Canis lupus familiaris: one gene and its partner. The protein of the gene in region 2 interacts with the protein of the main gene of each other region in a pairwise test. Links are inferred from orthologs where the notes say so. Each region holds a gene or a part of one and is shown on either strand. Other genes may lie near its edges.

The links. The genes of interacting proteins can lie anywhere in the genome.
Region 1: the proteins of PEX13 (region 2) and PEX14 interact in a two-hybrid assay, tested with the Homo sapiens proteins (2 studies listed by BioGRID and IntAct, with this or other methods). The link is inferred for Canis lupus familiaris from reciprocal best matches to the Homo sapiens genes PEX13 and PEX14.

The regions. Positions count from the first base shown.
Region 1 is NC_049223.1:84,907,785-84,911,528, forward strand, and holds the start of PEX14 (peroxisomal membrane protein PEX14), read right to left. Parts: upstream 2,541-3,744; 5' UTR 2,474-2,540; coding exon 2,438-2,473; intron 1-2,437. UniProt on the Homo sapiens protein: Component of the PEX13-PEX14 docking complex, a translocon channel that specifically mediates the import of peroxisomal cargo proteins bound to PEX5 receptor.
Region 2 is NC_049231.1:62,393,899-62,397,642, reverse strand, and holds the start of PEX13 (peroxisome biogenesis factor 13), read right to left. Parts: upstream 2,476-3,744; 5' UTR 2,412-2,475; coding exon 2,320-2,411; exon of another isoform or gene 2,019-2,319; intron 1-2,018. UniProt on the Homo sapiens protein: Component of the PEX13-PEX14 docking complex, a translocon channel that specifically mediates the import of peroxisomal cargo proteins bound to PEX5 receptor.

The DNA.
Region 1 (3,744 bases), on a different chromosome or scaffold from region 2:
CTGTAATACGTTCCATATTCAACAACCACTAAACAATTAGACTGAATCATGCTTCTGCTCTTCTGGTGGAGAAGTGCAGAAACAGGATAACAGCTCCCACTCCTATGGGCCATACCACGAACAGACTAGAAGGGCCTCTCCTAAGAGATCAACCATGCAAACTAGAGTAACATGGGGGAAACAGAACAAGGATGAGAAGCAATAAATATGATTTCTAAGTCCAAGAGAATGTCTTGAAAAAAGACCAAAAAGATCAGCATTATGAAAAAAGCAAGTGTGTCGCCATCTAAGAGTCACAAAGGACAGCTAGGATAAACACCAGCATTTGGGGTATTCCTTTAAATTGGAAAGAAATTGCTCCAGAACAAAGAAAAGAACAGCTTTAGTGGGCTGGTAGTCAACATGTGAAAAATCATATCCTAAAACATTATAATAAGGCTTGAGAAAGATTTCTCTCATTGGCGAGTGAAAATCCAGAGTTTAATGAATGCAATAATAACATCACAGCATGACAAGCACTATTCCAAAATAAGTTAATTTGGGGACATCTGGGTGGCTCAGTTGCTTAAGTGTCTTGACTCTTGGTTTTGGCTCAAGTCATGATCTCTGGTCTGGGGATGAAGCCCCCGGCTGGCTCCACACTCAGCAGAGAAGTCTGCTTGAGACCCTCTCTCTCTCCTCTTCCCTCTGCCCCTGCCCTGCTTGCACACACAGGTGCGCACACTGTCTCTTTCAAATAAATCTTTAAAAAGTTTAAATAAGTTAATTTATTTACTCCTCAGAGAAACCCTCTAAGACAGGCACCAGAATTATTCCTAGTGTGCAGATGGAGAAACTAAAGCCAAAGAAAGCTGTAAGCAGTGAGGCTAGGATCCTAAGCCGGCAGGATGGCGCCGGGGCCCATGCCGCTGTTCTCCACGGCCTCTCAAAGGAAGCAAGGGTTGACGTCACCCTGTGTCTTTCAGAACGAGAGACCGAGGCCACAAGGCCGACCGACAGAGACCTTCTGTGAAATAAACACTGACTCGTCCCGAAGGTACAATGTGTTCTTTCTTGCAAACCAGGTTTACAGGAATTTGCAAGTAATCCTTTCCATTCCACTCTGCTTTGACTGCAGAACCAGGGAAGCCGAGCGGATCAGGATCTGACAGTGAAACGGCAAGCGAGTCCTGCGGGAGCTGGTTCCTGGTCAGTGTGCACCTGCGGCTTAGTGCTAGACACGGACAGGATCCGGCATGGAGGGATCTAATTCCCCGCAGACGGCCAGCGTCCTGGGGCAACCCCAGTTCCAGCAGCTCTGGACAGGAGGGCAAAGGACAGGCAGAGCCGACAAGCAAACAGGTGCGGGCCAAAGCCCCGCAAAGGGCCTGGGAGCCGCTGCACACCTACCGGGGGGACAATCTCCTGAACCAAGGGGCCCTCGTGCACTAGGACGGCTGCAGGTGGCGGGCTGTTGGGGGCCTTCCCCGCGCTGGCGACCTAAGGCCCTGGAGGAGTCGGGGCTGACGGCCGCGGTCCGAGCGGTGGGCGATCCTAGCACGCGGCGGTCGTCAGAGCCGGGTTTCCTGGGGCCCCGCGGCGCGAGGCCGGAGGGGGCCCGGCCGCCTCGGGATCCCAGACCGCCCGGGGCTCCCGCCGCTCCGACCCACACGTCGTCTCCGAGTCGCTCGCTGTAGCAGAAGCTGGTCTGGGGGCAGGCGCTGTCCGTGCCGGGCCTGCGGCAGCCCCACCGCCAGGGACGCGGAGGGAGCGGCTTCAGGCGATGAAGGAGGGAGCTGGCGAGGGAGGGGCGGGGTCGGGTCGGGGTCAGGGTCGGGTCGGAGTCCCGCGTCGGGGAGGGGGCGGGGTCAGGGTCGGGTCGGCGTCCGGGTCCGGCGTCGGGGTCGGGGCGGGGTCAGGGTCGGGTCGGCGTCGGGGTCCGGCGTCGGGGTCGGGGTCGGGTCGGGGTCGAGTCGGGGTCGGGTCGGCGTCGGGGTCGGGTCGGCGTCAGGGGCGGGGTCGGGGTCGCGATCGGGGTCGGGTCGGGTCGGGTCGGGGTCGCGGTCCGGCCTCCGGCTCCCCCGCCCGCGGATCCCGTCCCGGAGGCCCCGCACCGCGACCTGCTGGGGCCCGGCTGCGGCAGGAGCCCCAGGCCCGCGAGGCGTGGGGCCGACCCCGCGGCCGACGGGCGGGAGCGGGCGGCTCTGCAGGCGGCGGCTCCCCCGCGCCCCCCACCCCGCGCCCGAGGCCCACGGCCCCTCGCGGCCGCCCCCGGGCAGGAGCCCCGCCGCCGCGGCCGCCTGCGCCCCGAGGGTCCCGCCGCCTCCCGGCCGAGCGCAGGAGGCACCGACCCGCGCGGGGCCGCCGGGGGCGGGGCCGGGGGCCTGAGGTCGCGGCCGCCGGGCGGGGAGGCTCGGGGCGCCGCGGCAGCCGCGGCGGGGCAGCCCTCTCCCCTCACCTGGCTCGGCGGCTCTGCCTGCTCCGAGGACGCCATCTTCCTGAGGCCTGGCTAATCCATCGCCGCTGGGCGAGCGCCTCCCAGGAGCCCCCACGCGCTCGCCCGCGCAGACCAGAGCAGCCGGCACTGAGCAGTCGATGAGGGCGCCTGCGGGAGCACCGACCGCGAGCAGGGCGCGCTCACACGGCCGGGTCACCCCGCGTGTGCCCTCGGGCCCCGTTCCGGCAGCATCCTGAGCCCGTCCTCGCTGCATCATTCTCACTGCATTAAGTCGCTGTCCAGCCCCACGGTGCCTCGGGCACAGGCATGGACTCGCTAGGTCTCGAACGAATGAACGAATGGGAAGGAACGTGGAAGTTAATCAAGAAATGGTCCTGCTCGGTATCGTTTGCGGAGAGCCTACCGCGGATGCTCACCCAACCGCAGCATCTGAGGAGCCCGCCCGCGGCTTGCACGCCTACGGGGGGACGCTGAACGGGGCTTTCCGCGGCGGAGATCCTTCTCGTCCTCTAGAGTCATCGAGTTGTTAGGTTTTAGGCCGAGTGTAGGGTCGCACACCAAGATTGCATGTGTTACACAAGGGGTCAGTCCATATTGCGGCGTTTTGATGGATTATGGAGTATTCAAAAGGGCTGCCTCAAGGAATAGTCTCCCTACAAAGATTGTTGTTTTGTGTTTCTTGGTTTGTTTTTGTTTTTAAGATTTTATTTATTCATTCATGAGAGACACACAGAGAGGTAGAGACACAGGCAGAGGGAGAAGCAGGCTCCACGCGGGGAGGCCAAGGTGAGGCTCAATCCCAGGACCCCGGGGTCATGACCAGAGTCAAAGGCACGCCCAACCACCGAGCCACCCAGGTGCCCCCAACACTGTTTTAAATGCTTACCCTTATCTTATGAGATAATACCTTATTTTCTTTTAAACAAAGTATGGAAGAGACTGAATGAATATGGCCTATTTCTCATTTACACAATAGGCCTCCCCTTTTAAGCGAGGAACTTTTTAAATTTTTTTACTATTATTTTAATATTAAACGTTTTTCAGAGGGGGTAAGTAGTAGTATTAGAAGAAAGAGGAATATGGGCAGCCCGGGTGGCTCGGCGGTTTAGTGCCGCCTTCGGCCCAGAACGTGACCCTGGAGACCTGGGATCGAGTCCTGCGTCAAGCTCCCTGCAGGGAGCCTGCTTCTCCCCCTACCTGCGTCTCTGTCTCTGTGTCTCTCATGGATAAATAAATAAAATTTAAAAAAAAAAAAAAGAGGAATTTATTGCCAAGCAGCAGCTGGACAATGTCAAACAGTGATGTAG
Region 2 (3,744 bases):
TGAAAACATACAAAAATAGAGTAAGTATGAATAAAGGACTTTTAACAAGTTGATAGGCAAATTTGGAGCCAATAAAAAAAGTGGGCAAGAAATATCAACAGAAAAAACTCAAATGGCTAATATTCAAAAAGATGCTCATAAAAAAAAAGATGCTCAATCTTATTACTAACCAGAGAGTACAAATTAAAAATGAAATATCTTTTCTTATCTATTAGGTTGGCAAATAAAGAACTAAAAAATAACATCAAGTGTTAGAAAGAATGTAGAGACACAATACTTTGCTAGTGAAAATGTAAACACTGGTATAAAACCACTTTGGGGAGCAACTTGGCAATAGTTAGTACTTGAAGCTAAGCATACCCTCCACCAAGCAATTCCACTTCCAATAACAATTAGGAAACACCTTGGAAATGAGGACAAGAAGAAAGGCACAAGAATGGTCACTGCAGAGGCACCTGGGTGGCTCAGTGGGTGTCTGCCTTAGGCTCAGGTCGTGATCTCACTGTCCTGGGATCAGTTGGCATTGGGCTCCCTGCTCTGAGGGAGTCTGCTTTTCCCTCTCCCTCTGCCCCTTGCCCCTGCTCATGTTCTCTCTCTCTCTCTCTCACAAATAAGTAAATAATCTTTTAAAAAAATCACTAGCGGTTTTTAATATGTAGCTAATACTTTAACACCTACAACAGAATAAGTTTGTTTTAATAGAATATCCTTTGGCGATTAAAATGAACTACAGATGTAAGTATGAACAAGAGAAACCTCAAAATCAGTATTTAATGGAAAAAATTTGCAAAATGATAGTTTGAACATAAAGTCTAAAAACACACTAAACACTATACACACAGATACACACACACACATAAAACACAAAAACTGCTAAACTATAAAAACATAATTGGGCACACAAACCACCAAATAGGGACAGTAGTTATAGCAGGAAAGAAGAATGGGAGGCTTAACACTTTCTCTAAGTTTTATTATTATTTTTTTAATCTGAAAAAAAAAAAAAATCTGAGGCAGATCTGGAAAAATGTTCTTAAAGCTAGCCTGAGTCCGCAAGTATTCCTTGTCTTAACACTCTACCAGATTTCTATGTGTTTAAAATTCTCAACGAAGAAAAATGGGGGGAAAAAAAGGTTAATTTTACATAAACAGGACTTTTAACAAGATGCCAAGTATAAAACCTGTCTTCCCAAATTGCTGTTCAAGGTTTTAAAAAAAGTCCAATGGCGGGGGGGGGGGGGGATCCCTGGGTGGCGCAGCGGTTTAGCGCCTGCCTTGGGGCCCAGGGCGTGATCCTGGAGTCCCGGGGATCGAGTCCCACCCACGTCGGGCTCCCTCTGTGTGTGTCTCTCATGAATAAAATAAATAAATAAATAAAACCTTAAAATTAATTAATTTAAAAAAGTCAAATCATTCATAACACAGCAGAAAGCGTCGCCCTCCAACTTAACAGTACAATCAAAGCTTATTACTCGTGATGAATCTACCATTATTAGATTAAGCTGCTAATGTGTTCAAGTATCTCAACATTTCAACAAGGATTACAAGATCTTACAACACAGCAGGAATACACCCAGTATATGGGGGTGGGGGGTGTGTGGGGGGGTTCTCCCTCTGCCTGTGTCTCTGCCTCTCTCTCTCTCTGTGTCTCTCATGAATAAATAAATAAAATCTTAAAAAAAAAAGACACCGATGAGAAACAAACAAATAAATAAATAAACAACAACACACAGGCCTTGGAAAAGTGACCCACAAAGGCCATCTACATATAGGCCTCGGATTTAGGACTCCCGCTTGAAAGTTGCTTCTCCAGGTCTTTACCCAAAACGTCGCTCAGTTATGCAGAAAAACAACATAAAGTGCATAGACCTGGGTTCACAGCGACCTTCGGGGCCTCCACCAGCTGCCCGAGAGGCGCCGTAAAAGCCGGGCGGAGACTTTGCTCCCTCCGGGGCGACCTGGGGCTGGGCCAATCTCAGCCACTCACACCTGCCAAAGACCAAAAGTCGAACATTTTTTTCTAAGGGCCGAGCGGTTCTGTCGCCGTGTTCCGCTCCCAGGAAACGGAGGCAGGAAAGCCTCCCGCTTTCCTGCAGGCGCCGGGACCCAGGGAGGGTCCCCCTGAAGAGCGTCCCTACCGAGAGCCGTCCAGTCCGAGAGAGCCGTGCGGCCCCGGAGTGGTCTCTAGCTTAGACCCCTCGGCGCCCGGGCCCGGCGCGGGGGGAGGGGACACCTCCGCCCCACAACGGCCTCAACCGTCTCCTGCCAAACCGCCGCTCCGCCCCGCCAGCCCCGCGGCCAGAAGAATCCCACACTCACTGGAAAGAGGGGCCGGGGCCCGGGCCCGGCCCGACCCCAGGAATTCGCCGGGTCTCCCAGGGTTTCGGGGGAGGAGGCGGCTGGGAAGCCATCTCCTCCGCCACCGCTCGCCTCCCCGTCCGCGCTGGGACTCCCCAGGCCCGGGGACAGCAGCACCTCGCCAGGCACAACGGGCAGAGCACCGAGTTCTCCACCCCCGCCCACCCCGGCCGCCAGCGCGCCGCCTGCGCTACTCTGCCAGAGGGCACCTGAGGCCAGGTCGCTGCTGCTAATCCACCGGGGGTGGGGGGGTGGGGGGGTGGGGGGGGGGGGGTGGGACTCTCTCTCTTTTAATTTGCAATTATGTCCATTGTAAACCTGAAGGTAGGCGCTCATCGATATTTCTGGCAGCGGCTACAACGCCCTAGACATCGGAGTCCTATGGAGGCTTCTCTGGGACGCTGCGAGTTCTGTCCCCCGCACTTCTACCGCCCGCGGGGTTGGCAGTGGGGGCAAGGGGTTGTGGCGGCGGGCCAGGCAGCTTTTCTGGTTTCCCCACAAACAAGAAGAGGCGAGAGTTCACTCGCTCAGCCCTTTGCGAGAGGGCCTGGTACTTTCGTTCCAAAGCTCTCGTTTCCTCGGGGAACAGAATTGCGTCACGCAGTAGGTGCGTTGTCTTTAGTCTTCCCCCCGTTCCCTCTGGGGGACCGGAAGGGGTTAAAGCCCAGGCTCCCGCGTCGCGAGAGAAGGTGAGGCAGGAAGGTCTGGGGGGCGGGGCGGGGGCCGGGGGGCGCGGGCTCGGACGGGGCGCTGCAGAGGTGTGGATGGACCGGGTGGCGTCCTTCCTCCAGGAGCGGCCTCGTTAGCAGGAAGGGGCGAGCGGGAAGTTCCTCGGACCCGACCGCAGCCGGGGAAGGGCTCGCCTGGCCGGAGGAGAGACTGGAGGTTAGGCTCTGGATGCATTTCCACGCGTCTAGAGTGGATTTTGCAGCGGAGAGCGACGGTAGCGCGATGAAGTTGTGAGCGTCTCCTTCGAAAAGTGCACGTCCTCCGCCGCCGCCGGGAGACGAACCACACACACGCTTCGGTATGGAAATGAGCGTTGGAAGATCCCGGGGTGCGAGACCCAGTTTGGCCATATTGTGTGTGTGTGTGTGTGTGTGTGTGTGTGTGTGTGTGTTTTCACACGCCCTGCTCCTTCCCTATCTGTAATGAATGGCTTCTGTTTAAGTCCAAGAGGTGAAAAGAAAGTCCGCCGTCTCCTCCAGGCATCGCTGGCCCGTGGAGAACTGACTCAGACCCCGGTTCAGGATCCTGGCAGGTGGGAGGAGGTCCTGTTGCAATGACTGAGTTCCCATGGTTTATGTAAAGAAGCACGTAGAGGAGAAGCAAAAACAAAACAAAACGAACAAAACCGGAACGAAGGCAGCCGGCAGTGACCCACCT